Macaca mulatta: one gene and its partners. The main gene of each other region encodes a partner of the protein of the gene in region 3 in a complex. Links are inferred from orthologs where the notes say so. Each region holds a gene or a part of one and is shown on either strand. Other genes may lie near its edges.

What was found.
Region 1: the proteins of DKK1 (region 3) and KREMEN1 are in contact, whole or in part, in a crystal structure (PDB 5FWW), measured with the Homo sapiens proteins. The link is inferred for Macaca mulatta from reciprocal best matches to the Homo sapiens genes DKK1 and KREMEN1. Residues at the interface, in NP_036374.1 of Homo sapiens: Cys189, Leu190, Arg191, Ser192, Ser193, Cys201, Arg203, Trp206, Ser207, Lys208, Lys222, His223, Arg224, Arg225, Lys226, Gly227, His229, Gly230, Leu231, His261; in XP_011528731.1 of Homo sapiens: Pro67, Asn88, Asp90, Asp92, Ser94, Trp96, Gly105, Val106, Tyr107, Trp108, Tyr110, Asp127, His128, Gly129, Pro132, Thr140, Asn142, Glu164, Ser165, Tyr167, Ala168, Phe170, Asn189, Val191, Phe193, His196, Asp203, Gly204.
Region 2: the proteins of DKK1 (region 3) and LRP6 are in contact, whole or in part, in a crystal structure (PDB 3S8V), measured with the Homo sapiens proteins. The link is inferred for Macaca mulatta from reciprocal best matches to the Homo sapiens genes DKK1 and LRP6. Residues at the interface, in NP_036374.1 of Homo sapiens: Glu185, His204, Phe205, Trp206, Ile209, Gln218, Val219, Thr221, Arg224, Arg225, Ser228, Gly230, Leu231, Glu232, Ile233, Phe234, Arg236, Ser258, Leu260; in NP_001401174.1 of Homo sapiens: Arg639, Glu663, Ser665, Ile681, Tyr706, Glu708, Thr724, Arg751, Trp767, Gly768, Gly769, Pro771, Val790, Gly791, Arg792, Asp811, Thr812, Asn813, Leu814, Pro833, His834, Phe836, Trp850, Ser851, Tyr875, Met877, Arg1184.

The regions. Positions count from the first base shown.
Region 1 is NC_133415.1:22,478,075-22,488,801, forward strand, and holds the start of KREMEN1 (kremen protein 1), read right to left. Parts: upstream 6,263-10,727; 5' UTR 6,150-6,262; coding exon 6,053-6,149; intron 5,404-6,052; exon of another isoform or gene 5,337-5,403; intron 1-5,336. UniProt on the Homo sapiens protein: Receptor for Dickkopf proteins. Cooperates with DKK1/2 to inhibit Wnt/beta-catenin signaling by promoting the endocytosis of Wnt receptors LRP5 and LRP6.
Region 2 is NC_133416.1:14,585,597-14,595,813, forward strand, and holds part of LRP6 (low-density lipoprotein receptor-related protein 6), read right to left. Parts: intron 7,701-10,217; coding exon 7,484-7,700; intron 7,008-7,483; coding exon 6,718-7,007; intron 4,652-6,717; coding exon 4,425-4,651; intron 2,196-4,424; coding exon 2,011-2,195; intron 1,383-2,010; coding exon 1,056-1,382; intron 1-1,055. UniProt on the Homo sapiens protein: Component of the Wnt-Fzd-LRP5-LRP6 complex that triggers beta-catenin signaling through inducing aggregation of receptor-ligand complexes into ribosome-sized signalosomes.
Region 3 is NC_133414.1:97,436,867-97,447,663, forward strand, and holds DKK1 (dickkopf-related protein 1 precursor), read right to left. Parts: upstream 6,993-10,797; 5' UTR 6,810-6,992; coding exon 6,567-6,809; intron 6,322-6,566; coding exon 6,159-6,321; intron 4,993-6,158; coding exon 4,852-4,992; intron 4,737-4,851; coding exon 4,483-4,736; 3' UTR 3,634-4,482; downstream 1-3,633. UniProt on the Homo sapiens protein: Antagonizes canonical Wnt signaling by inhibiting LRP5/6 interaction with Wnt and by forming a ternary complex with the transmembrane protein KREMEN that promotes internalization of LRP5/6.

The DNA of each region.
Region 1 (10,727 bases), on a different chromosome or scaffold from region 3:
ATTCATTCATTCCTCTTTAAACTGGTACAAGCCCAGGCTAGGGAGGTATTTACCTAGAAAGAGAATTTAAAAAGCGGGGAAGGGCTTCCCTTAGAAGAGGAGAAGTCACGTTTCTGTGAAGTAGTTGTTTGTGAGGTGTATGGACACCCATGTGACATTTTTCTACGATGGCCTCTTTCCTTTCCCTCATCAGTATGAATCCAGGCAAAGTCTCAGAAGGTGAGGTGAGGGTTGAGGGAAGCACTGCCATCTTGGGAGGAAGACTATGAAGATAAGAGAGGGAGGAAAAATAGAGTGACCTCAGACTGCTCCTCCTAGACTAATACTTACGAGTTCCAGCTGGATTCTCAAGGTCAAACTGAATATAGAAGGAATGTCAATCATCATTCTCACCAATGACGAGGCTGCACAGTGAGCCGGCCAGAAAGTAACCTGCCAAGTGGCATCGGAGGTGCTGGATCTCACTTCAAAACCTATACAGGTAGTTTTCTAAGGGACACATTCACTTCCTCCTATGTTGTCCTTATTCAGGCGGCAGACATTCAGGCAAAAGCTACAGATCCAAACTTCCGGCCTCTCTCAAGTGTTTTGCATTAACTGTTCCACAGTACAAGCACAATCAACTTGGTATGTTTGAATGTTTCATTTTGTTTTTTCAGAAATGTTTTAATTAAAACAAAATAATCAGCCATGCTAAGCACATTGTTGTTTTTTAAAACGACTTTAAATATGACAACAGAACCTTGAAAATAAAAATTAACTGCTTAGGAAAGTGACAGAAGTTTGTTTTCTTCTTCTTCTTCTTTTTTTTTTTTCCTGGCTGTTTTTCTGTGTCAGGGCTGGTGCCACCTGCTGCCTGGGCTTTCCTCTGAGAAATAGATCTCTCAACGGTTTGCTCTAAGCAACATCTGCAGGCACAGTTGAACAAACCATAGGCCAGTTCCAAGGCAGGCACTATTTATGTAGTGCACACTGAACCACGCTGAATTTCTCTTTAGGACATTTTCAAGGTTTTTTTTTTTTTGAGACAGGGTCTTGCTCTGTTGCCCAGACTGGAGTACAGTGGCACAATCTCAGCTCACTGCAGCCCTGACCTCCCAGGCTCAAGTGATCCTCCCACCTCAGCCTCCTGAGTAGCTAGGACTACACGACATCTGGCTAATTTTTGTCTATTTTTTGTAGAGATGGGGTCTCACAGAGATGGGGTCTCACTATGTTGCCTAGGCTGGTCTCAAACTTCTGGGCTCAAGGGATCCAATCACCTGGGTCGTCTAAACTGCTGGGATTACAGGCGTGAGCCACTGCGCCTGGTCTAAAAGTCCTATTAAAGACCCAAATGTATGTGCATGAACTTCTCCCCATACATATCTTTTTAAAAAAATTGTGGTAAAAAATAACGTAAAATTTACCATTTTAACCATTTCTCCCATATGTATCTTAAAGTTAGTTAACAGTAAATGGTAAAAGTTTCATTCGTTCACCAAAATCAAGCCTCCTTGTCACCTCTTCTAGACCAGTGAACACTGAAAAAAATCAGAAGACATGGACCTTGAACAGAACTCGGCAAAGCACAGCCTGTGGCCCAAATCTGGCTCACTGCCTACTTCTATATGGCCCACAAGCTAAGACTTTAAAAATCTATAATTTAAAAAATATTTTAGTTTTGAAAAATCAAATGAACAGTATTTTTTTAACATAAAAATTATAGGAAATTCCCAGCCTGGGCAACATGGTGAAAGTCCATCTCTACTAAAAATAAAATACTAGCCAGGCATGGTGATGCACGCCTGTTATCCCAGCTACTTGAGAGGCTGAGGCAGGAGAACTGCTAGAACCCGGGAGGCAGAGGTTGCAGTGTGAGCCGAGATTGCGCCACTGCACTTCAGCTCGGGTGACAGAGTGAGACTCCGTCCCTAAAAATAAATAAATAAATAAATAAATAAATAAATAAATAAATAAATTATAGGAAATTCAAATTTCAGTGTCCATAAAGTTTTACTGAAACATAGTCACATCCATTCATTTATCTTTTGTCTATGCTGCTTTTGCCCTACAGAGTTGAATAATTGCAACAGAGATAGTGTAAGTCCCATGAATCTCGTATTATTTACTATCTTCCCTTTACAAAAAATGTTTGCCCATACCTGACCTAGATTATCAGTTGACATTTCCATACTCAAAAATTCTAAATTAAGGATGGTATACTCCCCATCACCAAAAATCCCTAATCTGTATATTGTGAAGCTATTTAAAACAATGTATTTCATCTTACTAATTTATTGTTTTTGGTCTAACTATGTTAAACCATGAGTGTATCAATAATATCTATATTGAGTGTATCAACTTTCTGTTTATGAGTAGTGAGCCTAAAAGGAATGCTTTCTTGCTTTAGGATTTATAAAAGGGCTCATTGCCTACCTCAAATATTTTTTATTGATTGATTGATTTTGAAACAGAGTTTTGCTCTTGTTGCCCAGGCTGGAGTGCAATGGTGCGATCTCGACTCACTGCAACCTCCGCCTCCTGGGTTCAAGCAATTCTCCTGCCTCAGTCTCCCAAGTAGCTGGAATTACAGGTGCCCGCCACCATGCCCGGCTAATTTTTTGTATTTTTAGTAGAGATGGGGTTTCACTATGTTGGCCAGGCTGGTCTCGAACACCTGACCTCAGGTGATCCACCTGCCTTGACCTCCCAAAATGCTGGGATTACAGGCGTAAGCCACCGCGCCTGGCCTCAAAGATTTAAATAGTTTGCCTAGGGGCCAAAATATATTTTCACAAAAATATCAGAGGTCTCTGATACCACGTCGAAATGGTGTTTCTTAAAATACTCAGAGCATACAAGTAACTGGTGTGCACCCTTCACTCCTTCACTGCTTCAGCCCCTATATTGCTTACAGATAATTCTATTAGCATTAATGAAGTCCCTAAGAAGGCCAAGAATTGGTAGACAGTATGAACTCTAGCTGTTAACTGAACTCATAGGTTTTATGGCAAACACACTACTGGCTAGTGGGGCAAATTCCAGATGAGGAGTTAGAGGAGAATGAGCATCAATCTATAAACTTATAAAAGGTATTCACAGCAAACATAACCTGAGTGGAGAAGCTCTGTTGATGCGCATCTGATAGACCCTAAAGGTAGTAAAACACCCAAGTGAGTAGACCATAAATTCCATACATTCCAGATGGGACCCACTACAGAGAACCCATCGACCGCATGGCCCTAGCTGCACTCCTCCTTGAAGGAAAGTCTAGATTCCATTACCTTCTATTTTCCTTCTTATAAGTTGTGAAGGAAGGAAGAGAATCTTAGAGGAAGAATGAAAAGGGAGATCATTTGGGGTTGGGTACACATTGTAATTAGAAGTAGGATTGATGGGGAATGAGCTAACTGTTTTTATAAAGTCAGCATTCAAAAATGCAAACCACCAGTAATTTAAATATTACAAAATTGCGCAGAATACAAATATTGAAATAATTTTTTCCATCCACAAAATTTTAGAGAAAATTACAGTATCAAAAAATATAAAATGGCAAGTTTGGCATATCCTCAGAGTAAAATGTGTGTGTGTGTGTGTTTTATTGGAAAAGATTTTAAAAGCTAGTGGGTAGGATCTAGACAGGATGTGTTGGTGAAGACCATGTGGTATCTCCCTAAAACTGCTTCTGCAACTAGGCAGGAAAAGTCAAAAAAGCAAAGCACTGAGTTACCAGGACGGTAAGACACCAAGCTGGCAAGGCTCAGTGAATTGGGAACTTGGGCCACTTATCACAAATCATTTCACAATGATTATTTGCCCTTACCCCAGACTCCTAAATAAAAGTACACCAAAATTTGGGGTGCAAACTTCATAAGAGCTGCTGCATTTGATCTTAAAAAAGCAAAGATATCTGGGAAGAGAATAGCTTCCAACAAACTTAAGCAGAGTTGGCTCACTTGATGCTTTTCAGAGCTACTACTCTGCCCTTTCCAGAAGGGGAACCAGTCTATTTCCACCCATACCTCTCTCTTTGTAGGGGACATTAAATCCTGACCACACAGATAGCAAAGTGGAGCTAAGGGGTTACTAGGTTACAGTTATGTTGACATATCCTGGCTCTCGGAATGTCCGTCACTCCTCACAACAGTAGAAGCGATCATACTGTAGAAGTCCCATAAAAGGCAGTGATCACTCAGAAACCACTCACTGAGCCTCAGGTTTACAACACTTGGAGACCCCAGTTCTACCAGTTTAAAGCCAAGCTTTGCCTTTTACAGAAATGAATCAGACAGAAAGCTCTTAGCACTCCCAGGGTAAATGAGGTGTCTAGCACTCGATGAACTGTGAGGTCCTATAAAAGTATTATTAAAATATGTTTATTGACTCCCTCCTATATGTGGGTATGTTACCTACAGTATATCATTTAATATTCACAACACTCTGCAAAGTTATCCTGTCTTTACAGATGAGGAAACTGAGGCTCAGAGAGCTGAAGGCATGGCCCAAAGTCACGCAGTAAGTGACAATACCAAGTCCTAGCTTTTTCGCTAATCCAAGCCAATAAGTAAACAAAGCAACTCTGAGTTTTCTTACACCAGCAAAATCCCATCCTTTCCAATATCAGTCTGTGACTTTGGGTGGTGAACCCAGAGGCGGGTTTTCCTACTCTTGCAGACTGGTAATAAACTCTTCCCATCCCTTTCACAAATGTCCTATGCTCAACATCCGAACAACCTGCAGAGAAATGCAACGCCCTCTTGCCTTCTCTTCAACTTCAGAAAGGATTTGGCTACAAAGTTGCGTGTGGAAGTTAAGCAAAGTCCAAGCTTCATCCTGGACCAGAGCCCCCCTCGGGAAGACCTGGCCTTGGCCTTGGCCTTGGCCTGGGGAGTGAGTGACCTGTCTAAGGTGTGGGGTGACCGAAACACGGAGCTCGGCGTTGCACCCTTAGGAAGAGCACCCTAAGCTCAGTAGGGGAGAAGTTTCCCATCACCGCTTCCTTTTTCCTCTCCCCCTGCTGCGCCATCACCTAAGTCATACGGAAGTTCAAAGCGGCCCAGCGGAGAGAGAGGGCACGTCCCGTCCGTCTGGGTACAAGGTCGTCCCAGGACCCTAACCTGCCTCTAGCAGGGCGAACAAGTCCATCCCGTTCCTCGCGAGGCAGAAGTTACAATGTCCGCCAAGCGGGTGCAGCCGAGGACTCGGGAAAAGGGGCTGAGCACCGGCTCCTCCCGCCTCCGCTCTGCTCTGTGCGGGGAGGCGCCGGGTTCCACCGGTGTAGGAGGGAGGAGAGGACTGGGGGACGCGGGGGCGTCGTAGTGAGGCTCAGGGAGGGGACCTTGGCCCGGGGGAGGGATGTCGCTGAGGGTCTTGCAGAGAGGGATGTAGCCTCTTGTAGCAGGGGAGCCGTCCCAGTGCAAGGTGCGTCGATGAAGGACTTGGGGCGGGATCCCAGGAGGTACTGGGGAGCAGGGGTCGTCCCGGCCCGGGAGGGGTCGCTGGGGACTTGGGGACGGGATCCCAGGAGGCAACGGGAAGCAGGGGGCGTCCTGGCCCGCGGGGAGTCGCTGGGGATTTTGGGACGAGATCCCAGGAGGTACCGGGGAGCAGGGGTCGCCCCGGCCCGGGGGGGAGTCGCTGGGGACTTGGGATGGGATCCCAGGAGGTACCGGGGAGAGGGGGCGTCCCAGCCTGGTTGGGGTCGCTGAGGGACTCGGGCAGCGGGTCCCGGATCCCAAGACAGAGGAGATGTCCCAGCCCGGGGGGCGTCGCGGAGGGCCTTGGAGGTCTCAAGGCGAAGGGGGCGTCCTGGGCTGAGGGGCGTCGCTGAGAAGCACCGGGTCCTGCAGCCGGGGGACAGTACCCGGCCCGGGGGCGTCGATGACGGGCCTGGGGGGAGCCCAGGTCCCAGGGAGGGACCGTCCCAGCCTGAGGGGCGTCGCCGAGGGGCCCTGGGAAGGGGCCCGAAAGGTCCTGAGGTGGGAGGGAGGGGGCCCTCAGGCCGGCCGGCTCTTGTCGCCCCTCGAGTGTGCTCCGCTCAGGGCGGGCGGCGGGGGTCGCTCACACTCACCGGGTCCGGGGCCGAGGCCGGGGCTGGGCGCGGGCCGGGCCGCCAGCGTGAGCGCCGCGGCGGAGAGCAGGGCGAGGCGGGCGGCGGGCGGCGCCATGGGCCGTCAGTGCGGGGCCCCGGGGCGCGGCCCGGGGGAAAGGGGGCAGCGCGGGGAGCCGGGAGCGGCCATGGGAGCAGGACGCGGGGCCCGAGTGTAGCCCCGCCCCGACTGCCCGGCCGCCCCGCCCAGGCCCGCCCAGCTCAGCGCCGCCACCGCCCCTGCAGCCTGGGGCCCGCCTGGATCCGCGGAGAGGCCCGGAGGGCGGAGCCTACCGCGCGCGCACGCCCCGCCCCGGCCGCGTGCCTCTCCTGCCACTCACGCATCAGGCCCCGCCCATCCCTCGCCTCACCTGGGCCCGCCCCTCAGGGCCCTCTGTTTGTCCCATTCACGGGTGGGATCAGCAGGTGAGGGCGGGGCCTCGGCCCGGCCTCCAAGTCACCAAGCGGTTTGGCCGGGCTGAAATAGGCCGGGCTCCCAGTGACCCCTCCTCCACCCTCACTCGGGTCGTGACCCACACGCGAGCTCAGCTACAGCGATAATAATTACAACAGCAGTTTGCAAGCTGTTTTCCCTTGCTTAGCTCATCGTAATGGTGAAAAAAAGAATGCTTTGGAGAGTTCACATCCCACTTGGTCACCTGTAAGATCTTGGACATGTTTAAAGGAAAAATAGCTCTTACCTCAATTTCCTCATCTGTTAAATGGAGGTGATAATAGCTACTACTCCCCAGAGCGGTTGCACTAAATAAGAACGCCTAGAGCCGGGCGCTGTGGCTAACAAATCCTGGGATCCCAGCACTTTGGGAGGAGGCCGAGACGGAAGAATCGCTTGAGCCCCGGAGTTCGAGACCAACCTGGGCAAAGCAGTGAGACCCCATCTCTACAGGAAAAAAAAAATAAATCAGTGGTCCCAGCTACTCAGGAGACTGAGGCAGGAGGATCGCTTGAGCCCGGAAGGTCGGGGTTGCAGCAAGCCTTGTTCACACCACTGCACTCCAGCCTGGGTGACAGAGCAAGACCCTGTCTCAAAAAACAAAACAAAACGAAAGCATGGAAGCTTTTACGCACGCACAGTAGGAGCTCAGCAAATGTTGAATTCCTTTCTCCACCCCAAGTTTGCAGCCACATACTGACCCCCTGGTTCCGTATCTTATCACATAGCCAGTTTCAACTAGGGCAAGTTTCCTGATGTGTCCGAGGCTCAGCCGTTTGCAGAATAGGAATAATAAAAGGCCTTCAGAGGAGTCGATGAGATAGAAGCAAGTAAAACGCCCAGTGCAACGACCAGAAATGGATGGGATAGTGCTGCTTATCCTACAGCCTGGGATGTTAGGCATCAGAGAGCGCGCGGCTTGCTTAAACTTTCGGCCCGGGTGTGGTAGGCCCTTTGCCCTCCTCCCCGCCGACCCCGGCAAGGTCTTTCCCTGCCTCACCCGGGGTCGGTCGTGGGCCGTCCTCCTCCCCCGCCCTCCCCCAAGGCAGAGGGGATTTTCCTACAGCTCCCGCCTAAAGCGCAGCGGTGACGCCCGGCGGGGCAGGTCTGGGCGGCGCGCCGGCAGCTTTCAAGTCTCTGGTCCCGGGCTTGCAAGTGCAGACCTGCGCACGGCGCGGCGGCGGGAACATCTGCCCCAGTGTGCAGACTCGCCGCACCCAGAGCGCGGCTGGGCGGGACAGGCCCGCCTTAGGTACACTCGCCCCTGGGCCCCCTCAACCCCCGGGCGCCGCCCCCTTGCCCACTCCCAGAGCCCGCGTTCCCCCATACTCCTTTCTCCACCCACGGCTGCTCTCAGGTCCGGGCCCGAAGGGCGCAGCTACCTCCCACGAGGCCTCTCAATCTCTGTCCCTCTCCACCCACACTACTCAGCGCTGTAGCAAGAAGAATCTTGTCCAGTTATTGTTTTCATGTGTCACTCCCGAGTTCAAGGACCCTCTGATCTTCTTATTGGAGCTTAGGGGCACCCACCATCCCCTCACCCAGCCAGCCTCGGTCCTGGGGAGCCCCCCACCTCCTACCACCGGTGATCCCCATTTTTGTCCAGCTTTCCCCTTTTCCACAATTTTGGGCCCTTCCCACCTTCTCCACCGGACCTGAGAACCCTTACTCTGGGACTTCTGTGCCCTCCCAGACAGCAGTGCCTTTGAAGAGAATGAAATGAGAAGATGCAGGTGAAGCCCTCAGCCCAAAGCAAACAATAAAGTCGAACTTTCCTTTGTTCAGCAAATATTCAGCGAGGAACTTGCTGAGGGCTGAGGACACAGCCACCAAGACCAAACCTTCCTCTTGGAACTTACATTCTAGTCAATCTGAAAACACGCAAATTCCTGAGAACAAAAAGTAATACAAAGACAAGAAAATTATGTTAACTGAAGGCTCTGTGGATTTTTTTTTCTTTTTCTTTTTCTGAAGACAAGGCCTCCCTCTGTCGCCCACACTGGAGTGCAGTGATGAGATCATGGATCACTGCAGCCTCCAATTCTTGGGCTCCAATGATCCTCCCGCCTCAGCCTCCTGGGTAGCTGGGACTACAGAGGCACGCCATCACACCCAGCTAACCTTTGGGCTACTTTAAACAGGAAGCCAGAGAAAGACTTTAGCAAAGCAGGACACAGTTCTCTACAGTTTCCAAGGTTCTTTCGACATCTCATTCAGGTTTCAGAGAAGAAAATAGGAAGGGCACCCAGGAGGCTGGAAACAAGGTTTATTTGGCCAAGTCTGGGCAGCCATGCCCTGTGATAGTAGCTTTGGTCTGCCCTGCCTGCTGTGGGAAGGCACCCCTCCTGGGCTGGCAGCAGCCCCTCCTCCAGTTGGCTCTCTCTGTCATGTGCACTCCTTAGGACCAGCCATATAATTGGCATGGCACAGTGAGAAATGAAAACGTATGTCCTGGCCGGGCGCGGTGGCTCAAGCCTGTAATCCCAGCACTTTGGGAGGCCGAGACGGGCGGATCACGAGGCCAGGAGATCGAGACCATCCTGGCTAACACGGTGAAACCCCGTCTCTACTAAAAAATACAAAAAACTAGCCGGGCGCGGTGGCAGGCGCCTGTAGTCCCAACTGCTCGGGAGGCTGAGGCAGGAGAATGGCGTGAACCCGGGAGGCGGAGCTTGCAGTGAGCTGAGATCCCGCCACTGCACTCCAGCCTGGGCGGCAGAGCGAGACTCCGTCTCAAAAAAAAAAAAAAAAAAGGAAAACGTATGTCCTTTGTCCAAACTTATTAAGAATTTCAAGACAGGCCAGGCGCCGTGGGTCACACCTATAATCCCAGCATTTCGGGAGGCCAAGGCAGGTGGATCACCTGAGATCAGAAGTTTGAGACCAGCCTGGCCAACATGGTGAAACCCCATCTCTACTAAAAATACAAAAAATTGTATCCGGGAGCGGTGGTAGGCGCCTGTAATCCCAGCTACTCAGGAGGCTGAGACAGAAGAATTGCTTGAAACTGGGAGGTGGAGGTTGCAGTGAGCCAAAATCGTGCCACACAGCAAGACTCCATCTCAAAAAAAAAAAAAAAAAAAAAGAATTTCAAGACAGTGACAGCAGAAGATAAAAAGATAAAGCATGTATGAGGCCCTTCCAAGCAAGTAGCAAGGGGGCCTATGTTAATATACCTGTTGCACACCCATGAAAATAGCCCTGTTGTACAACAGGACTCGGAAATCCTGGCAAGCTCCTCCTGGCACTGGCTGCGGTAAGAAACATCCCTCTAGCCTTCTCCACCCCCACCTTCTCTTTTCCAGCTGAAAGCCCAGCACAGGTGATGGAAACAGTGCACAAGAGGCTAAAAATACAGCCCGGCGTGTCTAGGTCATGGCGCTTAACAGCTCAAGGTCTTTTGCTCCACTATGTGGTCCTGGCTTCTGGCAGAGAGCAACCCGGGATACTCATTTCAGTGCTTTACATGCCTGGGGTGTTTAGCAGCTTTATTTCATGGAAAGAGTGAGGACGCTGAATGCAGCTCTTGGGCCTCCAGAAAGATGTTGGTGTCCGTTTGTTTGCACTGTGCAAGTCAGGCCCCTTTCTTCCTCCGAGGGCAGCAGGATTGGTCAAGAAGCCAGGAGACCTACGATGTTGGAGTTTTGGTCATTCAAGTGTCTTTGAAACTCCAGTTGGGATGATTTCCACTCAAAGGACAGTCTTTTTATGGAGAAAGCCCTGGAGGAGGGGGCCGGATTATAGTGACAGCAATAGCAAACGTTTACTGCGGACTCAACTAAGGCTGTGCAGGGCGTCCATGGTTGCATTTCACAAAATCCTCCCAGTAACCTTGTGAGGGAGGCATTCTTACCAGCCCACACCCACCCCAGTACAAAGAGAGATTAAATGACTTGCCCAAAGGTGACATCGTGGTGGAGCTGGGCTTTGAACCCAGGCAGTGGAACCCTAGTCTTACCCTCTTAAGTACCAGGCTGGGCCAGGTGCGGTGGCTCACACCTGTATCCCAGCACTTTGGAAGGCCGAGGCAGGTGGATCACAAGGTCAGGAGTTCAAGACCAGCCTGATCAACATAGTGAAACCCCATCTCTACAAAAATACAAAAACTAGCTGGGCGTACTGGCAGGCACCTGTAGTCTCAGGTACTTGGGAGGCTGAGGCCAGAGAATCGCTTGAACCTAAGAGGCAGAAGTTGTAGTGAGC
Region 2 (10,217 bases), on a different chromosome or scaffold from region 3:
CATATTGACCCAAACTCTACCTCTCCCATAATCTATTCTTTCTGATCTAATCTACTTATTTCTTAATCGTATCTACCAATTTGTTCTTGTCTATCCACCAAGAAATGGGCCTTCATATCTATTTAGGTTATAAGCCAGGTTTCCCCTAGCCAACAATGTTTCGTTACACACTTTTTTGTTAGTGTTGTGTGTGTACTTGCCGGTATTTAAAAATCAGGAGATGAGGGAGTCACACACAAAAAAATCTAGATTCAGGACTGAATGAAAAGATCTGGAAACATCAGCTTCAGTTAAATTGCAGCTGCCTACTATGTTCATTGCATTTTCTCTTTAGTTTCTTATCAACTATTACTTGATACTGCGTTACATGTTCTCATATGCATTTTCTGTATGGCCTATTACACATTTAAATTTTTCAAGAATGTCCTACTCTATGCACTTCAAAGGACAAGTAAGTTGTGTTTTGGGATTCTGTTTTACTCCTTTACAATAAACACGATGCATGAAACCATGCAAATTTTACACTTAATATTTAACGTCCAAGGGTGAAAGACTTAATTTTTCCTTTTTTTTAAAGAAAGAATCTGTGTCACCCAGGCTGGAGTGCAGTGGTGCCATCACGGCTCACTACAGCCTCAATCTCCTGGGGCCAAGTAATCCTCCTACTTCACCCTCCTGAGTAGGTGGGACTACAGGTGCACACCATTACTCTGGCTAATGTTTTTATTTTTTGTAAAGACAAGGTCTCGCTATATTGCCTAGGCTGGTCTCGAACTCCTGGGCTGAAGCATTCCTCCCACCTCAGCTTCCCAAAGTGTTGGGTTACGGACATAAGACAATGCACCAGCATAAGACTTAATTTTTCTATAACATCAAATTGCTATCATCAAACAAGTAGTAAGTAACAAAAACTTGCATTCCCCTACCCTTTAACCAAACAAATGATCCCCTCTGGATTCCCACAATATTTTACTTCAGAAAAAACACACGCTAAAGTACTTTGAAAATGCTGCTTTCTCTCACTCTAGCTTGCTTTGGAGGGACATGCAGCTTACCACTACAAGTCCTGTTGTCAGCATTAAGAGCGTAGTGGGCAGGGCATCCACAAACAAAACCCCCAACTGGCACAGCCAAGCAGAGGTGGGAGCAGTGCCCATTGCTGGAAGCACATTCATTCCACCCTGACTGTCGAGATGAGTGAAAGACGAGGATGTCCATCACATAATCCAAATGGCCCTGAATGATGGTGCGGTTTTGGCCACTGGTTTTGTTGGCACGCTCAATGCTGCGTCGGCTCCAGTCCGTCCAGTAGATATAATCTTGGTACTGAGTTAAGCCAAAAGGATGAGGCAAGTCATCTGCTATAACTTCACGGTTGAGTCCTATTTTCAGAAAGGCAGTAGACAGGGGAGAAGCAGAGTGATAAAATATGTGAGAATACAAGTGTCTTGTTGGCAAAAAGAAAAAAAAAAAAGCCCTAACATATAAAACATTACATTGTAAGCAATTTAAAATAGAAAAATTCATTTAAAAGCAATTCTAAAAGCAGACCAGTACTCTGAATCAATCTATCTTCTGACCCCATGCTTCAAACTTATATTCCTGCTACGAATCACTCAGTTTCCTAAAATTCTTGCAAATGGTCTACTTTAAATGTGGTTTTCTTTTCTCTATATAAGGGTCTACAGTTCATTTTTTCTTCTTGAACTATAAAAGGAAAAGATGGAAATATATATATTTTACTGGTACAAAAGTCATTTCAGGAGTATCTAGGGAGTTATAAATTTCATTACAAGTCCAATAATAATGAAACTTTCAAATAATAAAGAGATGAATCCAAGTACCTGGATCACTATTAATAATAACAAATAGGATACAATTCCAGAATAGAAGAAGAGTGGACACATTCATATGAAGTTGTATTAAAAGTATCTAACCAATGATAAATAGCAGCCACTGATTTTTGCATGGAAAGAATATACTGTCTGAGTAAAAAGTAGTAAAGCTTACCAAGCATATTTGAAGATTCTATTAAGTTGGTGTCCAGGTCTGTCCAGTAAAGCCTCCTTTTAGCATAATCAATAGTCAGGCCATTTGCCCGCCCCACATTTGGAACTAAGGTAGTGCGTTCACTTCCATCCATTGCAGCTCTGTCTATCTTAGGTTTTCCACCCCATTCAGTCCAATACATAAATCTAAATTCAAAATAATAAATATTTAACATTTCATTTTTTAAATTATCTGGGGGTCATATTCATGCAAAGTAACTAAATAAATTTAAAGAAAACATATAGCAAATCAAGGAAATGGGTAAAACAAAATCATGGCTACAATGCTTTCAATTATTTTGGCACCCTAAACTAAATATTTTTTTCCGTATCCCAAAAAGGAAGTGAGTCAGCTTTCTTTAGTCTTTCCAATGAATTTGTTCCATCCAAACCTAGGAATTGGAAATAAACCAATAGTTTATTGCAGTACTGGCATTTATAAAACTAATATTCAAGAAAACAGCAAAGGTTTAAAGCTCTGGTCTCAGAATCTGGTTCACTTCTGAGTAAAATTTTTTATATATTTTTGAATATTAACTAATTTGAGTTTTTAATATGCTGAACTTACTTTTTGACTTGTGTAATCAACTTTTCCTCAAAATAAGTTGCAGAAGTACATGAAAGACAATTATAAATACTAACCCTTTAACTGAAGTCAAAAGCAAAGCTTGAAAATGTATTTGGTCATAGAGTCCAAGGGAGCATACTATATGGTAAGAACAACACATCACCCCTCGATGTGTCCACTGGGCAATGAACACTACACTACTACAACAATCCGTGAAATTTTAGAATAATTATTTTGCTGTTATTTTCCATTTTTGAGTTCTGCACTTTAATCTTACAGTAATTCTACAGTATAGGCTTTTTATAGATGAACAGGCCAAAACACTACAAGAAATGTGAACAATTTATCTAATGTCTTCAAGCCAGTTACACGACAGAGCTGGAACTAGAACCTAATCCTTGGCCAAATGCCCTTTTCAAGTCAACTAGTGAGGTGCTAGTTTTTGAGACTCTTGAATATTGGAACTGAAAAAGCACTTCACATGCCAGCTCTCACGAAATACTTGAGGACAGATATTCACTCATCAGCCTGTCAGCTGATAGCTGACTTGGTAGCAAAGCATGAACATGCTTTTCTGAAAACTGAAGGTGTCCTGCCTTTATATGCATTTGTCAATTGACAGGCATGTGCACACCATAAAAGCCAAAGAGAAACAACTGAGAGATAAATTTCATACTTGCCAGCAGCAACCAATACCAGAGTCTTTAGTCTCAACTATTAAATTTATCCGTCGGGCAGCTAATGTTTAGAGCAAAGATCACCACAGTATGTCAGTGCTGACTAGATGAATTCTAATCATGGAATCAATGTCATTTCAGTGAAACTATTTTAAGTAGCAAATATAGTAAACATGTTTATATGTTCACATTGTTTACTACTATTTCTTTTTTTTTTTTTTTTCCAAGACAGAGTCTTGCTCTGTCACCCAGGCTGGAGTGCAGTGGCATGATCTCGGCTCACTGCAACCTCCACCTCCCGAATTCAAACAATTCTCCTGCTTCAGCCTCCTGAGTAGCTGGGACTACAGACACATGCCACCATGCCTGGCTACTTTTTTTTTATTTTTAGTAGTTACGGGGTTTCACCATGTTGGCCAGGCTGGTCTCAAACTCCTGACCTTGTGATCCGCCCATGCCTCGGCCTCCCAAAGTGCTGGGATTACAAGCATGAGCCACCACGCCCAGCCTGTTGACTTCTTTTATAAGTGGAATTTTTCTTCAAATTTCAGATTTCTTAGCTGCTGGCTTTAAAAAATGTGCTGACTCTTGTAAAAAGGAACACCCGCCCTTGAAAAACGTCATGTTGTAAACAGTTTAGTCTATCTTGTAATAACAACGCCACTGCCAGTTTATAATAATGATCAAACCAAACTATCCATTTTGAATTAATAAATACTCCAAAATAAAGCTTTTTAAACGTAGTTTTTTCTTAGCTCACAACATTGTTTCAGTGGGTTTACTTCAATAGGCTTGAAATCTAGTATAACCGGAAAGGAGTGCAAGCAACTATAGATGCATAATACCTGTTGGTATATATATTTAACATATCAATATACTCATCAGTAACATTTGATTATCCATTTCCCTCTTTCCTCACCTAAAGTTAATTATGACAAAAGTAAAATTAGCTAATAATTATTTATTCAAATCAGCAAAATATCAATAGTGTTTTTAAAAGCTCATCTATCATTTAGTTCTTAGATTCCTAAGAAGTATTATTTAAAACATTAAGAATATCATCTATAACTATGCCATGTTCCCCAAAATGTACACTGCAGTTGCAAAGAATGCACATGTAAAGCTGTTTACCCTTCGGCAGGGTCCAACGCCAGAGCTCTGGGACTATCTAGGTCTTTCCACACCAAAACTTGTCGATGCTGCCCATCCAACTTTGACACCTCAATTCGATTCGTTCCTGTGTCTGCCCAGTACAAGTTCTTCCCAAGCCAGTCTACTGCCATGCCTTCTGGATAATCTAAGCCGAATTCTACCACATGTTCCAGTGCACTGCCATTCATAAAGGCTCTGCTGATGGTCTGTAAAATAACATCAACAACTAAGTCATATGGCATAAGTCAAAACCCAATCCAGAAAGAAGGTTTGGTTTGGTTTTTGTCAGGGGCAAGAGGATCCAGAAGTGACAAGAGGCATACTATTTCCTAATAAAATTCACATAACTTGCAAGTGCAGAAAAATTTGATGTGAATCTCTAATAAATGCAACTTCAAGTTTTACTGCCAACTCAGTGGGGAAATGTTAAAACTCTAAAGAACCAAAAACTTATTCTACTAACAGCAGAATGACTTTACTTTTAAAATTTATCGGTAATCAAGTGGAAAAGCTGTGACCGCAATGCTACAGATCTTAACAAGCAGTCAATTTTCTTTCTTTTTTTTTGAGACGGAGTCTCGCTCTGTCGCCCAGGCTGGAGTGCAGTGGCGCAATCTCCACTCACTGCAAGCTCCGCCACCCAGGTTCACGCCATTCTCCTGCCTCAGCCTCCAGTGTAGCTGGGACTACAGGCGCCCGGCTAATTTTTTTGTATTTTTAGTAGAGACTGGATTTCACAGAACAAGTAGTCAATTTTCAAAAGGTGCTTAAGATTATGGCAAGTCATCATGCCTACCATATAAATGAATGTAACCATTATACTACCATTATAACTTTGAGCCCCATAAAAGTTTTAAAAATCATAATTCAAACTAATAGATACTACATCTTATTAAATATTATCCTAAGTACGTTTTGTCCACAGATTTTCTCATTTAATACAACAGTCCTGCAAGTATGGCATTACCTCTATTTTATTTTATTTTATTTTTTTGAGAATTAGTCTCATTCTGTCACCCAGGCTGGAGTGCAGTGGCATGATCTCGGCTCACTGCAACCTCTGCCTCCCAGGTTCAAGTGATTCTTGTGCCTCGGTTTCCCGAGTAGCTGGGATTACAGGTGTGCACCACCACACCCAGCTAATTTTTGTATTTTTAGTAGAGACAGGGTTTTGTCATGTTGGCCAGGCTGATCTCAAACTCGTGACCTCAGGTGATCCATATGCCTCAGCCTCTCAAAGTGCTGGGATTACATGCATGAGTCACCACATCCGGCCACCCCCCATTTTCAAGATGAGGAAATTTAGAAGATCACCCAATGCAAACCAATATTTATTTCATTTATTCACTTAATAAATTTAACTGAACACCATTAGAATCCAACTCTGACTCCAACACCCCATGTTTTCGCACATTACAAAAAAGTTTACATGAGTTATCTGAAACAAGCCCAAAACAATCTGGAAGAAGAAAAGATTATTCTTCAGATTTATAGGTCTGGAGCTTCCTCTCTCTGGCTATCCTGGTATTCTTTTCGGTAACTATTCTAGGAAGAAGAAAATAAAGAGTAACTCATTGTCGGCCTTTTCCGCCTCAGTCAGACCCTAAAATTTTGTTTAAAGTAAATCAAGAATTTTTGTTTAAAGTAAATCAATAGCCATTTTATGTGAAGCACACATTTCCTTACTCAGCTAATTGCAGAAAATGTCATTCATCATTTTCAAATGGAAGAAAGTAGAGGAAGACTACGGCTAGGAGAGTTAAAACACTCTGGCAAAGTATCTTATATTAAAAAGCATCTAAATAAAATACTGAACGGGCCTTTCCCTTCACTTAAAAACGTAAGGGTTTTGGCCGGGCACGGTGGCTCACACCTGTAATCCCAGCACTTTGGGAGGACGAAGCGGGCGAATCATGAGGTCAAGAGTTCGAGCAGCCTGGCCAACATGGTGAAACCCCATCTCTACTAAAAATACAAAAATTAGCTGGGCGTCATGGCACACACCTGTAGTCCTAGCTGCTTGGGAGGCTGAAACAGGAGAATCGCTTGAACCTGGGAGGCAGGGGTTGCAGTGAGCTGAGATCGCACCACTGCACTCCAGCTTGGGTGACAGAGCGAGGCTCCCGTTTCAAAACAAAAAAAAAACTTGAGGGTTTTTCTTGAACTCTGCCTGTCAAGCAATGAGGGAGGTGCGTCACAGCATGAAGATTCAGAAATTCTAGAAGTTCTCCCTTTTAGTCCCTAGCTTTAATATTCCAACTCTTTTGCTAACCTTGAGTGATATATCAGTCCAATAAATTCGGTTGTCTGTCACATCAAAATCCAAAGCAGAAGCTTCTTTGACACCAGTGAGTGGAATAGCCACATTATTATTGTTTGTTTCCAAAGAAATTCGTCTGATGTCTGCTCTCCGTGAAAACAAAAGGAAAGCCTCTGGGACAATGCAGGTCTTCATGTCACTGATGAGTTCAAAGCCAATAGGGCAAGCACAGCGAAGGCCCTGAGGTCTGTAAAGGCAGAGATGGCTGCATCCCCCGTTTTCCTCAGCGCAGGGGTTGGAACCTAAAAGATTAATTATAAAAGGGGCACAGAAGAACACACACATTGACACATTCAACATATTTTCACTTTTAAATTACTTAAGCCTTTGGTTCACAAATGCCTATCTGCTCCCAATCTCAAGTTTCAATTCTAATATCACAAACAAATAATATGCAGATTAATAGGGAGTAAAAGCATGGTGAAGTATTTTCCTTTAATATCCATAGTAAGCTTTAAAATAAGGTATGTTATTCATACTATCAGATGGAATTCTTTGGATGAAGGTGTGCCTGTGCATATGTATTCAGTCCTTCAATTCAAACCTGGGTAGCTAGAGTAGTAAAGTCAACGTTTAAAAGGTCCCTTCTTAGTATAAAAAGAAGGGGGTAAAGAAGATTTCTAAATTGCCTCAAAACATCAATAATTTACACTGCTGACTATCTCCATCTTTTTTCATTCCTGGTTTCCGTTTCTAAGAAAGCTTTGGAGTTACTTACCAATTACTCGATGAACATTTGTGGCCTTTAGGCCCATGAGGTCAGGCAGCTGATCTATGATCACTTCCCTCTCTGCACTTCGTTTATGTACTCTTTCAATGCTACGCCTCTGCCAGTCAGTCCAGTAAACGTAGTCACCCAACAAAGTAAATCCAAATATGTGAGGAATTTTGTCTTCCACTAGTACTCGTCTCCCAGTGCCATCAGTATTCATAACCTTCAGGTTTAAATTCAAAAGAGAAGAGGATGAACGATGTATTTATTCTTCATGCAAAAATAATAAATCCAACTGCCTGTTGTATAAAAATCCAAGAGTCATCTTGGTATTCCTATTACAATGATTTCTCAAAATTACGTGATGATTTCATAAGAATGATTTCAAATATTCCATATAAGCCTCTATTTGACCACTTTTCCCCCCAATCTCATATTATTCGTCCTTCTAAAAATTCTGTCAACTTTAGATTATGCAACTCTTCTATTAAATGACTGTGGCAAAATTAAAAATACAGTATCATCACCTTAAGTTTGCACATTTATTTTCAAATTATAATGTACCTTCACATACATTGTTTTATCTTATGTTTTGTTTTATAACATATTTTATTTTATCCTGAGAGCTTTGCCTATGGAAACTGAGATTCATGTAAGGTCACAGAGCTTGTAAACACAGTTGATGTCTTTTTCAGGACTCTTTCCACTTAGCGTGCTTTTTATTTTGTTGTTATTGTCAGTAACAACAACCAACAGATAAAACGGATCTCAATAATTATCTCTCATTCCTGAGATTATAATCACAAAAGTCTATCTGGATTATATGACACCCTCTCTGCATCTAAGTTTCAAGAAACTAGGATGTAACTTCTCTTTCCAACTACCTAATAGTAACATTATTAAATTCACTCTGGCATTCATATTGCATTCACAGTGCATTCACCATGCACTACTCAGTGTTGACTTAACTTGGGATACCTTTATTGACATAATATAACTAATATTTGCATGTAAGATTATATCTGATACTTTTTTGCAGGGTAGAAGCAGATATTGTTCACACGTACATGTTTTTAGTATGAAATAACATTTCTAAAGGCTAATTTGCCCAGCACACAGGCCCCTTTAAGTGGCAGAAATGGTCTCAGGTAGGGACTTGAACAATGGGACTCTGGAAGGCTTGCTCCATCTTTCAGAACAGAACAAGATCTTCTCAGTTTCTACTGCAGCATTTCCAACTGCATTTCCAGGAACATGTACTGCTACCTCATCTAAAATGTCATATACTTAACTGTACTGCTACCTCATCTAAAATGTCATATACTTAACAGTGAACCTATGTTCTGCATTAGGGACAGTTCAATCAGTCTATCAGGGAGCACCCAACACAGAGTGATAAATATTCCGTATTATACAACACTAAAATATAACTTTCTTCCAAGTTTGTGGTATGTTAAAATATGCCTGACTTGGTTTTATTCTCAGATTTAGTTCTATCTTATTTTGCATTATCTTACATGTAATAAATTACACTAATTTTGCTGATCTTTACATTCAAATGTTGGCCTTCCTATTAAAATTTGCTGGTGTAAAAGCATAAACTAGATGTCCAATATTAAACTTTTAAAGAATAACACTTATATTTCTACTTCAAAACTATTACAGGATCAACTAACAAAATCTTTTCTGTTTCAGCTATATCACTTTACAACATTTTTGTTTATTTTGATAAATAGCTTAAACAAAAGATGGATGATTAAGTATGAATTAGGAAAATGGGACTGGGTATGGTGGCTCATGCCTATAATTCCAGCACTTTGGAAGGCCAAGGCAGGAGGATCACTGAAGCCCAGGAGTTCAAGACCAGCCTGGACAAAATGGCAAGGCCCTGTCTCTACAAAAAATACCAAAAAATTAGTCAGGTATGGTGGGATAAGCCTGTAGTCCTAGCTACTCAGGAGGCTGAGGCAGGCAGATCGCTTGAGCCCAGGAGTTTGAGGCTGCGGCGAGCTATAATCAAGCCACTGCACTCCAGCCTAAGTAACTCCAGCCTAGGAAAAAAATTTTAAAAAAGAAAGAAAATAGGTAAGAATTAAATTAAAAATCATTGTGAGAAAAATAGTAAATACCACAATTCCAAGACCTTTTTAGTAAACATAATTCTGTGTCTATTTACCAGTTTCTCTTCATTCTTCTACTCTCTAAAAAATTTCTCATGATCAGCAAGTAATACTGTGGCAGAAACAGATTCAAATATAAGCTTTATCACTCAGTGGGTACCCTTAAGCAAGTTCTCGCAAATAAAATAGGGACAGCGGGCTAGGCACGGTGGTTCATGTCTGTAATCCCAGCACTTTGGGAGGCTGAGATGGGCGGACCACGAGGTCAAGAGATGGAGACCATCCTGGCCAACATGGTGAAACCCTGTCTCTACTAAAATACAAAAAATTAGCTGGGCGTGGTGGCGCACACCTGTAGTCCCAGCCACTAGGTAGGCTGAGGCAGGAGAATCGCTTGAACCCAGGAGGCTGAGGCTGCAGTGAGCAGAGATCGTGCCACTGTACTCCAACCTGGCAACAGAGCGAGACTCTGTCTCAAAAAAAAAAAAAAATAGGGACAGCGCCACTGCCATCACTGAATTAATTAAGGATCAAATAAAATAATGCTAAATATATAGCACAGTATTAGGTGCACTACCTGGCAAACACTGGTTCCTGCCCTTTAAAATCATTTTATTAAA
Region 3 (10,797 bases):
TAGCCACAGTGGAATATTACTTATTTTCTCAATATATTGTGTATTTTTATTTTTATGACTCCGTAAGTTTGCTCACACTTCTTCCTCTGTCTCCAATAGGAAGGAAACTCTTTCTCGTCTTTTCTACCTTGTAAATGCCTTCTCATCCTTCAAAACTAATTTGTGATAGACATGAGATGTGGGATTTGTCCCTACACATTCCTCTTTTAGAACTACTATAGTTTCTATTACAGGCAGAATGGATATAGACAGCTGTGTTTATATTGGGAACTGGGTAGCCATGCTAGACAATTGAACCAGAGGTGAACCCCTGATTAAAGATAAACTAATCAGAACCCTCACTCAAGATTTTGGAGTAGGAGTCTCTGAAAGGGCCGGGCGCGGTGGCTCAAGCCTGTAATCCCAGCACTTTGGGAGGCCGAGACGGGCGGATCACAAGGTCAGGAGATCGTGACCATCCTGGCTAACACAGTGAAACCCCGTCTCTACTAAAAAATGCAAAAAAATCTAGCCGGGTGGGTTGGCGGGCGCCTGTAGTCCCAGCTACTCGGGAGGCTGAGGTAGGAGAATGGCGTAAACCCGGGAGGCGGAGCTTGCAGTGAGCTGAGATCTGGCCACTGCACTCCAGCCTGGGCGACAGAGCAAGACTCTATCTCAAAAAAAAAAAAAAAAAAGAGTCTCTGAAAGGCTAAGCAATTTACTGAGCAGAACTGCACTTCATGATCACATATATTGGGGATAGAATTTTGCTTGTCCCGGTGGCAAGTGGTAGACATTTCAAGTTACAATGGAATATAAATCGTAAGTGAGTCTGCAGAATGCTTTCCATCCTGATTCTAATGAGTGGTATCAACTCATGTCTCCTTTTTCTAGTTTAAGTGCTTTTGCTTCCTTGAAATAAAAGGGCGAGAGAAGGCAATGGTTCAAATACCACCTCTTCTCAGAAGCTTTTTCTGAGTAGTTACTGACTGATTTAATTAATTTTAATCTGTTGTCAGGTATTAATGTATGTAAGATAATACAACATAATATATACATTTCATTGTCCAATAGCAAAGACCTAAAATTGAGTGACTGCATTGAGCTAGACATAATAGTATTCTGATGCATGCATTACTCTCATATCTACATTACTGAGGGAGCCATGACTCAATCCCATATCTATCCAGTTCTAGAGACTGTTTCTAACCACTAAACTAAATCAACTTCCAGCACTAATGCTCATCGTCTGCCTTGCTAAATAGTAAGTTCTTTGAAGTTAAAGACCAATATTATACGCATCTTTTCAAATGCTAGCATAGTGCCCACTGGACATGGCAGACTAAATACATGTATATTGAATTAAAATTTCTTAGCATTACCTAGATAGTAGTCCTAGATTTTTGATGCGATTGACCATTTCTAAGCTGTCGACCTTACACTCAATATATAAAGGACCACATACGTACCCACACTTTTGTACAAGTATCAAAAGCTTAAATTATGAGAGTATTTTCTTCTTTAATGTAAAGATAAAGTATTTCTTTTATAATTCGACATTGCCCTCAGAATAGTATCTTAGAAGGTATGAAAATTGCAATCACAGAAATCAATGGAAGACACTTTATAAGCCTAGTGGTAGTATTGTCTTTTTTTCTTTAAGACTATAAAAGAAAGTTGGTAACATGATAAAGTTTGATAATGTCACCAATTTAAAAATGAAGGGTCAGGCTCATTCCTATCAATAGATTAGACAAAGTTTGAAATATTCAACTCTTCTAGCAAAACAAGGAAAGGGAGTGGTGAGAAAAGGCTTGTGATTGTATTTAGTAATAATTTCAAAATCAAAGTAATTAGAACAAGTCTAGCTTTAACTGAATGCCAGAGATTACTGTTCACTGTGAAATTTTTAGGATAAGCCTGTATTTCCCTTTTTCTTCTTTGATACAGTTTAGCAACAGCTTAATCATCACTTGGTCAGTGATAAGCAGGCATCTGGACATTTTGCTCATACCAGACTTTATTAGTAGCTGCAGAAAGCATGCATTTTGGACTTTGCTTCAAATATTAGTCATCCTATAACTATACTAGCACATGAACATGAAAATTCTATACTCATGACACATCACTTGTTAGATCAAAAACTCTCGAAACAACTTAAACGTCACTGGTTAAAATGATTATAGTATTGCCATTCCAACAAACTACAAACTTAATGTAACCTTTAAAAAGAATGAGTCACCTCTCTATGTATTATATAAAATGATCTACAAGACACATAGAGTAAAAAAGCAACGTGCAGGACAGTGTGTAGAGTATACTGACATTAGATAAAATACCTTGTGAAATTTTCCCAGGTGCATGTATTTTCCATTAAAATACATTGTTTAAAAGTCACACAGCAACAACAACAGACATTTTAAACAATCATTACCCAAATTGTTTTAGATTCCTTAAATAATCCTCTTTTGAATTTGTATTTTATCTGATTTCCATCTTCTAGCCTCTATTACTAGCTAATAAAAATCTACAATTTTCTTGGTATTTTTCACCTTTACAAATATGAAGAATTCTTTTTAATGGAAATCCCTTCCTAATTTCTCATCTGGATAGGAAGAAGAGGTGTCCATCTTTGGTTTGTTTTGTATTCTTCCACACATCTCTCATCTGGAGATGAGAAGCAAGAAAGGCTATCACTAGGGTCAATGTACTGAGGTCCGTTCCTGTAGAAAGGAAAGGATCCAATAACCAGAGCCCTTTAAAAGTTTGCTTCTTTCCCCATTTAAGCAGAATGCTCTCTTTCTTCTTTTTGAAGAAAAAGTTTCCTGTTTCCTTTCCTTTATTGTGCTTTATTGGACATGGCAGGCCTTAGAGTTGGCCTTTCTGGCACTTCAGAAAACAAGCGAATGTAGAAAAAGAAAGTTTCTCCTGGGTGAGGAAGCTGAGAATTCCAGACAAAAGGAATGTAACAGCAGACATCCTGCCAGTTCCTCTTTCAGTGAAGAACCACCCAAAGCTTGTGTCCCATTGGTTGAGCCCCTTGAAACTGAACGACTTCCAGGAACACAAAAACAACAAACAGTCTAGTACATCTGCATTATTTAAGGAAATATTTGCACGATTGATTGATCAGTCACTACTATCCTTTGCAGGCCCAAAACGCAGCATTTTGTGGTTTGGGTGCAGACTTTAGAATACTACAAAAAAAGTGTAAATTGGGAAGTTTGCTTTCCCTTTTCCTCAGTATAAATAATATGAAATCTGGCAAGTAAAAATGCAAAGAAAATTTAGATTTCATTCCTGTGGGTTTTCTTTAAAATATTGTATCCCTATCCTCATTCCAATCAATAGATTTCAGGTTAAACAAAATTTGAAATATTAAACTCACCGAGCAAGAGAAAAAAGAGTGGAATGAAGAAGGATTTGTGATTTTCAATGAATAATTATTTTAAAACCAAAATAATTAGAATAAGTCTGCTTTGCATGTAGTAGTAATTAAGATACTGCAAATTATTTTGTTGGGTACAAAATCTGCAGGTATTTGTTAACTGTATTTATGGGCACACTTCCTGTTCCCGCCAATCACCAAGTACTTTGGAGTGTTATTTTTGTGGATGATTTTCTTCCTTGTCCAAAAAATATTGACCATTTAGGTAGGTATTATTAATTTATTGGAAACTATTTTTGAAAGTAGTAATGTAAGATTCACTCTCATTCTGCCATGACCATTTGAGTTTATCAATGCAGAATACGTCTTTCTTTAAAGTTATTCTAGAACTGATCAATATTGTCTTATATTTAGACACTGTCTTTTCTCTGATCATCTTTAACCATGTCACACGTCTGTTCCTGTAGAACACACACATACGTACACACACACAAACGTCTAAGATCACAATCCCAAAATGCATGTCTACTTATAACATTTCATGATATTAAATGTTAAATTTTATTTCAAAAACTATCACAGCCTAAAGAGAAATATAATTTAAGCATTAAGATAGTACATTTCAGAAAATAAGCTAGTATTTTCATGTAAATTTTAGATACCTATCATTTGTCATTCCAAGAGATCCTTGCATTCTAGACTCCGGAATTAAAAGGGGTAAAGGGTTATGCTTTTAAGAACTATAAGCTGAAATGATTTACTTCAATTCAATATAGAATATTTGTCAGTCAAGACAACAATCAATGTGTACAAAAATTTACATAACAAGAGGAATAATAGGCAGTGCAGCACCTTTAGAAAAATAATTAAAAGTTTTGTTGCATTTACAGGTAAGTGCCACACTGAGAATTTACAATACAGTAATTTACTGCAATCACAAGGGAGTTCCATAAAGAAACAAAGCTCTTACACTCCAGGTTTTTGGAAGGTGTTATTGGAATGCTTAACTGAAACCACAGAACTTGTATATCCTCAGGATTGAGTTGATGAAGGTCATAAAAGGTTTTCATAGCCTCTATTATATAAAAGGAGTCCACTGCATTTGGATAGCTGGTTTAGTGTCTCTGACAAGTGTGAAGCCTAGAAGAATTACTGGCTTGATGGTGATCTTTCTGTATCCGGCAAGACAGACCTTCTCCGCAGTAACAACGCTGGAATATTTCTAGCCCATGAGAGCCTTTTCTTCTATGCTTGGTACACACTTGACCTTCTTTGAGGACAGGTTTACAGATCTTGGACCAGAAGTGTCTAGCACAACACAGTCCTGTGGCACAGTCTGATGACCGGAGACACACAGAACCTTCTTGTCCTATGAAGAAGACAGCAGGAAAAAAGTACATAGTTACTGTTAAACCTGCATCATTTCACTAAAACAATTCAAAAGACATTTTTGATGTGCTAAGAATGAGTCTTGACATCCTTACCTTTGCTGTGATACATTTTTGAAGACAATGTTGTTCTTCTGGAATACCCATCCAAAGTGCTATGATCATTACCAAAGCTTTCAGTAATGGTTTCCTCAATTTCCCCTCGGAAATTATTTTGATCAGAAGACACACATATTCCTAAAGAAGCAGGAAATAGTGATTAACTTCAGGGTTGTAATGCATTACTGCTGACAGCTATGACAGTGGCAGTCTGTCATGCCAGCACCAACTTGAGATACTTCATTGCAGTGACATCATTTTAAACCTCTTTACTGTTAATGCAAAACTCTCTAGATGGACAGAAGCACAAATGTGTATACTGTATACAGTCAGTCATATGTAATATCCCTAGTATAGCCATTTAAAATACTTTCCCACCAACTGTGGTAGGGGCAAGTGAGATTTCTGCCCATTTTAATATTACCCTTGGGATAAGAAAAAGAAAATCAGTCGCTTTAAAAAATGTTCTTAAAAATAACTTCTCTGCCCCTGGTGCTATATGGGTCCTGCCAGACTAAGTTAAGCAAACGCAATTCCAGCTGCCTGGGACATTGCAATCTCACCCACCAGTTACTTCACTGTGTAATTTCCATATTACAGAGATTTACTTAGTTCATCCTGGAGTACTGCTGGGTCCTAAGGCGGGTCGTCACCCTGTTAGCTTATTTCTGGAGACCTCTTTAGCTGTCTAAATCCACCTTTTGAAAAATTAAAAGTTAGTGGATCTGTGGTTGGGGGGAGGAGTACTTATATTAAGGCAGCAGAGGGTAGAGGGAGGGGGAAGGATGGAGGGGTCAGGTTGTGAGGATATCAAGATCTCTCTTAAAAATGGCCCATGCAGATAAATCACTGTCCTCTGGCTGACAACAGTTTCAGCAAAAATCAGGAGAGGCCAATCTGGCAAAGCCGTGAGAGTCACAGTAAGAAAAATGAAAAGGGTAGCAGAATGCCAAAGCTGGTTTCTTTGGTCTCTGTATGATCCCATCGTCCTCCCCATCATCTCTCTTCTCAATTGACCTCAAGGTTCTCCCAGACAAATTTTTATGGAATGGTCCACTACGAGGTGAGCCGTTGCATTGAATCATTGAGGGCCACGGAGGAAGATAAGGACCTCAGAGACCTCCGAACTTCTCTCTTCTTCCCGATTAAACACTTGCAATGAAGATACTTCAGCGGAATCCTGCATGCTGAAGACCCATTTGCAGGTGGCGCCACAGAGTTCTCAGGGCGGAGTTTTTTCCCCCCTATTCGTAGACGCTCAAAGGCTGGACAGTTTTAGTGTGAAGGGAGCTTTCAGGACTCACCATTTTTGCAGTAATTCCCGGGGCAGCACATAGCGTGACGCATGCAGCGTTTTCGGCGCTTCCTGCAGGCGAGACAGATTTGCACGCCCGCGTCCCCTCCGCGGGTGGGACTAGCGCAGTACTCATCAGTGCCGCACTCCTCATCCTCTGCGCACGGGTACGGCTGTGGGAAAGGTTCGGGGAGAGGGTGAGGCATCCAGACGTCCAGGTACCCGCCCTCTTGGACCCGGGCGCTGATCACAGTCCCTATCTGTCTACCTCTCCAAAACCTGCTACCGCCCACTGCTCCCAATTGCAGGGTTGCCAAATGCTCCCTGAACCTCACACACTCAGCACGTTCTACTCCCTCCTCTCCAAATAGGACCCTTTCAAGGTCAGAGCATCCTCTGACTGCCCGACCCCTCTCACCTGGTAGTTGTCAATGGTCTGGTACTTATTCCCGCCCGGGTACAGAATTCCTGGCGCGGCGCTGACTGCAGAGCCTGGGTGCCCCGCAGCGCCGCCCAGCGGTGGGGGCAGGTTCTTGATCGCGTTGGAATTGAGAACCGAGTTCAAGGTGGCGCTCACTCCCAGCAGAGGGTGGCCGCCAAGAGCCGCCGCTACCAGCGCGACCAAGACCCGGGCAGCTCCTGCTGCGCCCAGAGCCATCATCTCAGAAGGACTCAAGAGGGAGAAAGAAAGAGAAAATGACCGTCACTTTGCAAGCCTGGGTCCCCACGAAACCGTGCCGGTGCGGTTGCACAGTCAGGGTCTGGGAGCCCCCTGCGGTCCCAGAGTCCTGACTGCAGGGAGCACAGAGCTCTGTGCCGCCACCGCCACCGCGGCTGCCTTTATACCGCGGGCCCGGAGCATTCCGGCCCCTTGGGAGGGAGACAACAAAGCCGGGATGGGATTTCAAAGCGCTGGGAGGGGCTGGGAGGGGGTGTGTTTGTGTACATGAAGGGGAGCCTTTGACACTCTTCACCCCGCTCCTCCCTTGCTTGGTCGTTCGGCTGGCCCGGCTCACCTTCGGGGTGACGGCTAGCAGCAAGCATTATAGCAGACGACTTTAATAAATGCAGGCGGCAGGAGGAACTCTGGGAACTTGGGTGCCCTTGACTGGCAGTAAGGGTTGAATTATCCAGATCTGAAATACTTTTCAGAGCCGAGGGGTGATACGCTCTGCAAAAGCACTTTTTGCACCTCTCCCTTACGCCAATACTCGCTGACTGTGCGCACAAGTCATATTCAGTATTAAATACAAACCGATCTGTAATTCAATGGCTCTAGCAAGACGCCTCTGAGAGGGCCAGGTGGCGGGTGCAAGTTGCTCATTAACCCTTCAGAGTCGCGGTTTGCAGATCTGAGTTAAATCCCTGGTTTAAGGTCGTTCAGTTGCCCTCCTCCCCCTCTCCCCCTGCCTCTGCGAGAAAAATGTGCAAAGAGAAGGAAATTTGCACATCAAACGAGGGTAAGAAGGAAGAAGAGCTAATTCTCTTTTGATGGGAAGTTTAGAGAGGGAGGCGAGAGACTGGGGTTTAGAAATTAGATCAGTGCTGTAGGGAAGAGGGAAATGACCGTCCGATAATCAAACCATTTAATGTTCTTTGAATCAGGGCAATCGCGGCAGTAGATGAACTTGATTAGGCAGACGCTTGAGATCAAAGTGGCCGGGGCCAAAGCGGACAGGGTCCAACGTACCGGGTCAGTCGCCTTTCCCCGTTCTCCCTTCTCAGTGGTGGGCTAATGCGGGGCAATAGAAACCCTTAGGGCTTAGTGCCTGACTTCCTCATTAGTATATCATATCGCAATGTTTCCGAACGCAGGGTTTGCTCCCAAGTCATACCTTGCACGGGACCACACAATACCCCTTCTAGGGAGATAAGAAACTACCTTGAGGAGAAGAAGAGCTGGAAGTGAATTAGAGAATTTGACGTCATTAAAATTGGTGTATAGATATAATAAAGTAAAGCTGGTGTATAAGAATGATGTCATGCTTATAAATGGGAAATGATCTATTTAATTCAACAAAAACTTATTGGAAGCCTAGAGCTCTGGCATTGGGCTGCCCTCTGGGTTGTTGCCTTATTTTTATTTTTTAAATTTTTTGGTGAGATGGGTGGTGGGGGAGGGGCACAATGAATACAAATATTTATGAGACACAGTTCTCATTTTAAAGAATAAAGTTCTCTTTATTCTAATTACAGTAATAATAAAAGATGTAGTAACAATAAAATTATAGTAATAAATATAAAAATGTACACAATTCTTTTAGAAACAGATTGATATTATAAGTGTCAGAAAATAGGCAAAAGTTTTGTGAGTCTCGAAAAAGGAGAGATGATTGGATAATCACTATTGAATTAATAAAGAGTAAGATATATTTATTTTGTGCTCCTCTAAGCTGTATAGATTTAGGCTGTCTATAATGACTCCACATGCTGACTGACCTACTGTAGTCAGAACTGGGGCCACCACCAAGTAAAGCCAGTGACAATCTTAAAGTAATAAAATCCTGAAGTTTAGTGGGGTAAAGAGTAATTAAAATACAATTTACCATGGTCTGTGTTCTAGTTCCTTCAGTTTCAAAGGTAATATTAAGAGCATCATCTAAATCATTCTTGAATGGTACCCTAGTTAGACTAGTGTTCCTCCCATCCCAAATTCCATCTGCCCAGGAAATTATCCTGTCAGGAATTTATGCGTTAAGCACCTTCACTGTACTAGGAAATCTGCAAGCTGTATTAAGTTTGAATGACGTTGAAATGTGGAGAAAAATCCGCCTGCCAATCAGAAGGTTGAAAATGTTTCTTTTTAGTGCTATTACCCTGTTTAAATATTTAGAATCTAGAAATACATCTATGCCACATTAAAGATCAATCTCTTGCCTTTTTTTCTGAAGAGATAGTATATGATTAATACATTTAATGAACTTGGTTCATTAAAAGCTTGGTTTCACACACAAAAAATCCATTGCCTGGGGCAAAAGAGAAGAAAGTGGAACAATTTAATCAACAAAGGGAAAACTCTGTTACAACAAAGAGGCTTGTTGCATAAATTCAACCTTGATCTCTGAAAACAAATCATATGTCTATTATGTTTCAATATTCACTGAGTCTGGACAGAATCTGTGGTACTGAGTCAGGAGAGCTAAACCAAGCATAGAAGTTCAAGAGCGGGCTAGCTTCTACCTTCTTCCTCATCTTTCACGTTGCTCCTGAAGTTGTCATGAGTTTAAAATGAATAATGATTTGGTCAATACCTGAGTTCCTACTTTGTGCTAAGCATTATACATGATATTGTGTGATAAAAGATGAGTTCTCATATAATCTACCTTCAAATCATTTAGTGGGCAGAGGAGAGGTAACCTCACAAATTATTCAGTGGAGAAATTACATGGGTGGTCCTCAGAGAGGGCTAAGTACATAGTAAATCATACCTTTGTTCCAAATGAGGAAATTTACTTTTTCAGTGCTTTTTCTCCATTTGAAAATCCTTTCCAGGATGTGGTTTGCTCACTGGCAACAAGAGTGCAAGGTAGATAAAGAGGTACAGTAAAACTCATTGTTCCATCAGCAGCCAGTTAATATTCGGCATGTACCCATTATTGGGAGCATATCTCACAATATGAAAGGCAGGCTTCTTGTCCTCAGAAAGCTTTCAGTCTGTGAGTAGTTGGGGAAATACAATATATTTATATGGGGCTGGGGGCAAAAATTTTTCCACCATCGATTATATTTTGGCAGATACCAGGTCATGGAGAAGCAATAAAAAGGTGCAGGAACTGTGACCAACACGTCTCAGGAAGGAGAGAAGGTTCTGGTGATTGTGTGAGTCTCTCTTACAGCTGGGTGACAGAGGAGGTGTGAGCCAGGGTAGGTGAATTTAGTTTATTAAACTGAGTTTATTTAGTCCTGTAGGGAACCCTGCCTCCTATTCAATCTGGTATAAATATGATCATAATTAATGTAACAAGTTTAATATTTTGTATTATATTTTTAAATAGGTGAAATATGCTTATCAGTGTGGAATTGAATCTCATAACTCAGGAACAGCATAATAATACATGTCTTCTTTATATTTTAAGTGCTGGATGCCACACATAGAATATTTCTCAACCTTTTCATCCATGAAGGAGACAGACAAATACACTCCAAAACACACCATGCTATTCACCGACTATTTTTCCATCTCTGTTATTTGTGACTGTTGATTTTTTAAAAAAAATTTAATATATTTTTATATATTTTTTGAGACAGGGTCTCATTCTGTCGCTCAGGCTGGAGTGTAGTGGTGCAATCATGGCTAACTGCAGCCTTGACCTCTCAGGCTCAAGTGGTTCTCCCACCTCACCCCCCAGTAGCTGGGACTACAGCTTCATGCCACCACACCTGGTTGATTTTTAAATTTTTTGTAGAAACAGGGTTTCACTATGTTGCCAGGCAGAGCCGGTCTCAAACTCTTGGGCTCAAGTGATCCTCCCACCTTGGCCTCCCAAACTGCTGGGATTACAGGCATGAGCCACCGCGCCCAGTCTACTGCTGTATTTTTAATTCCCTCCTTTCCTCTTTTCTTTTCTCTCTCCCTCCTTTCCTACCTTACTTCTTTCCTTCTTTCTCTTGATTAAATCAAAAGAAGCAGATTTGTTGCCATACACTTT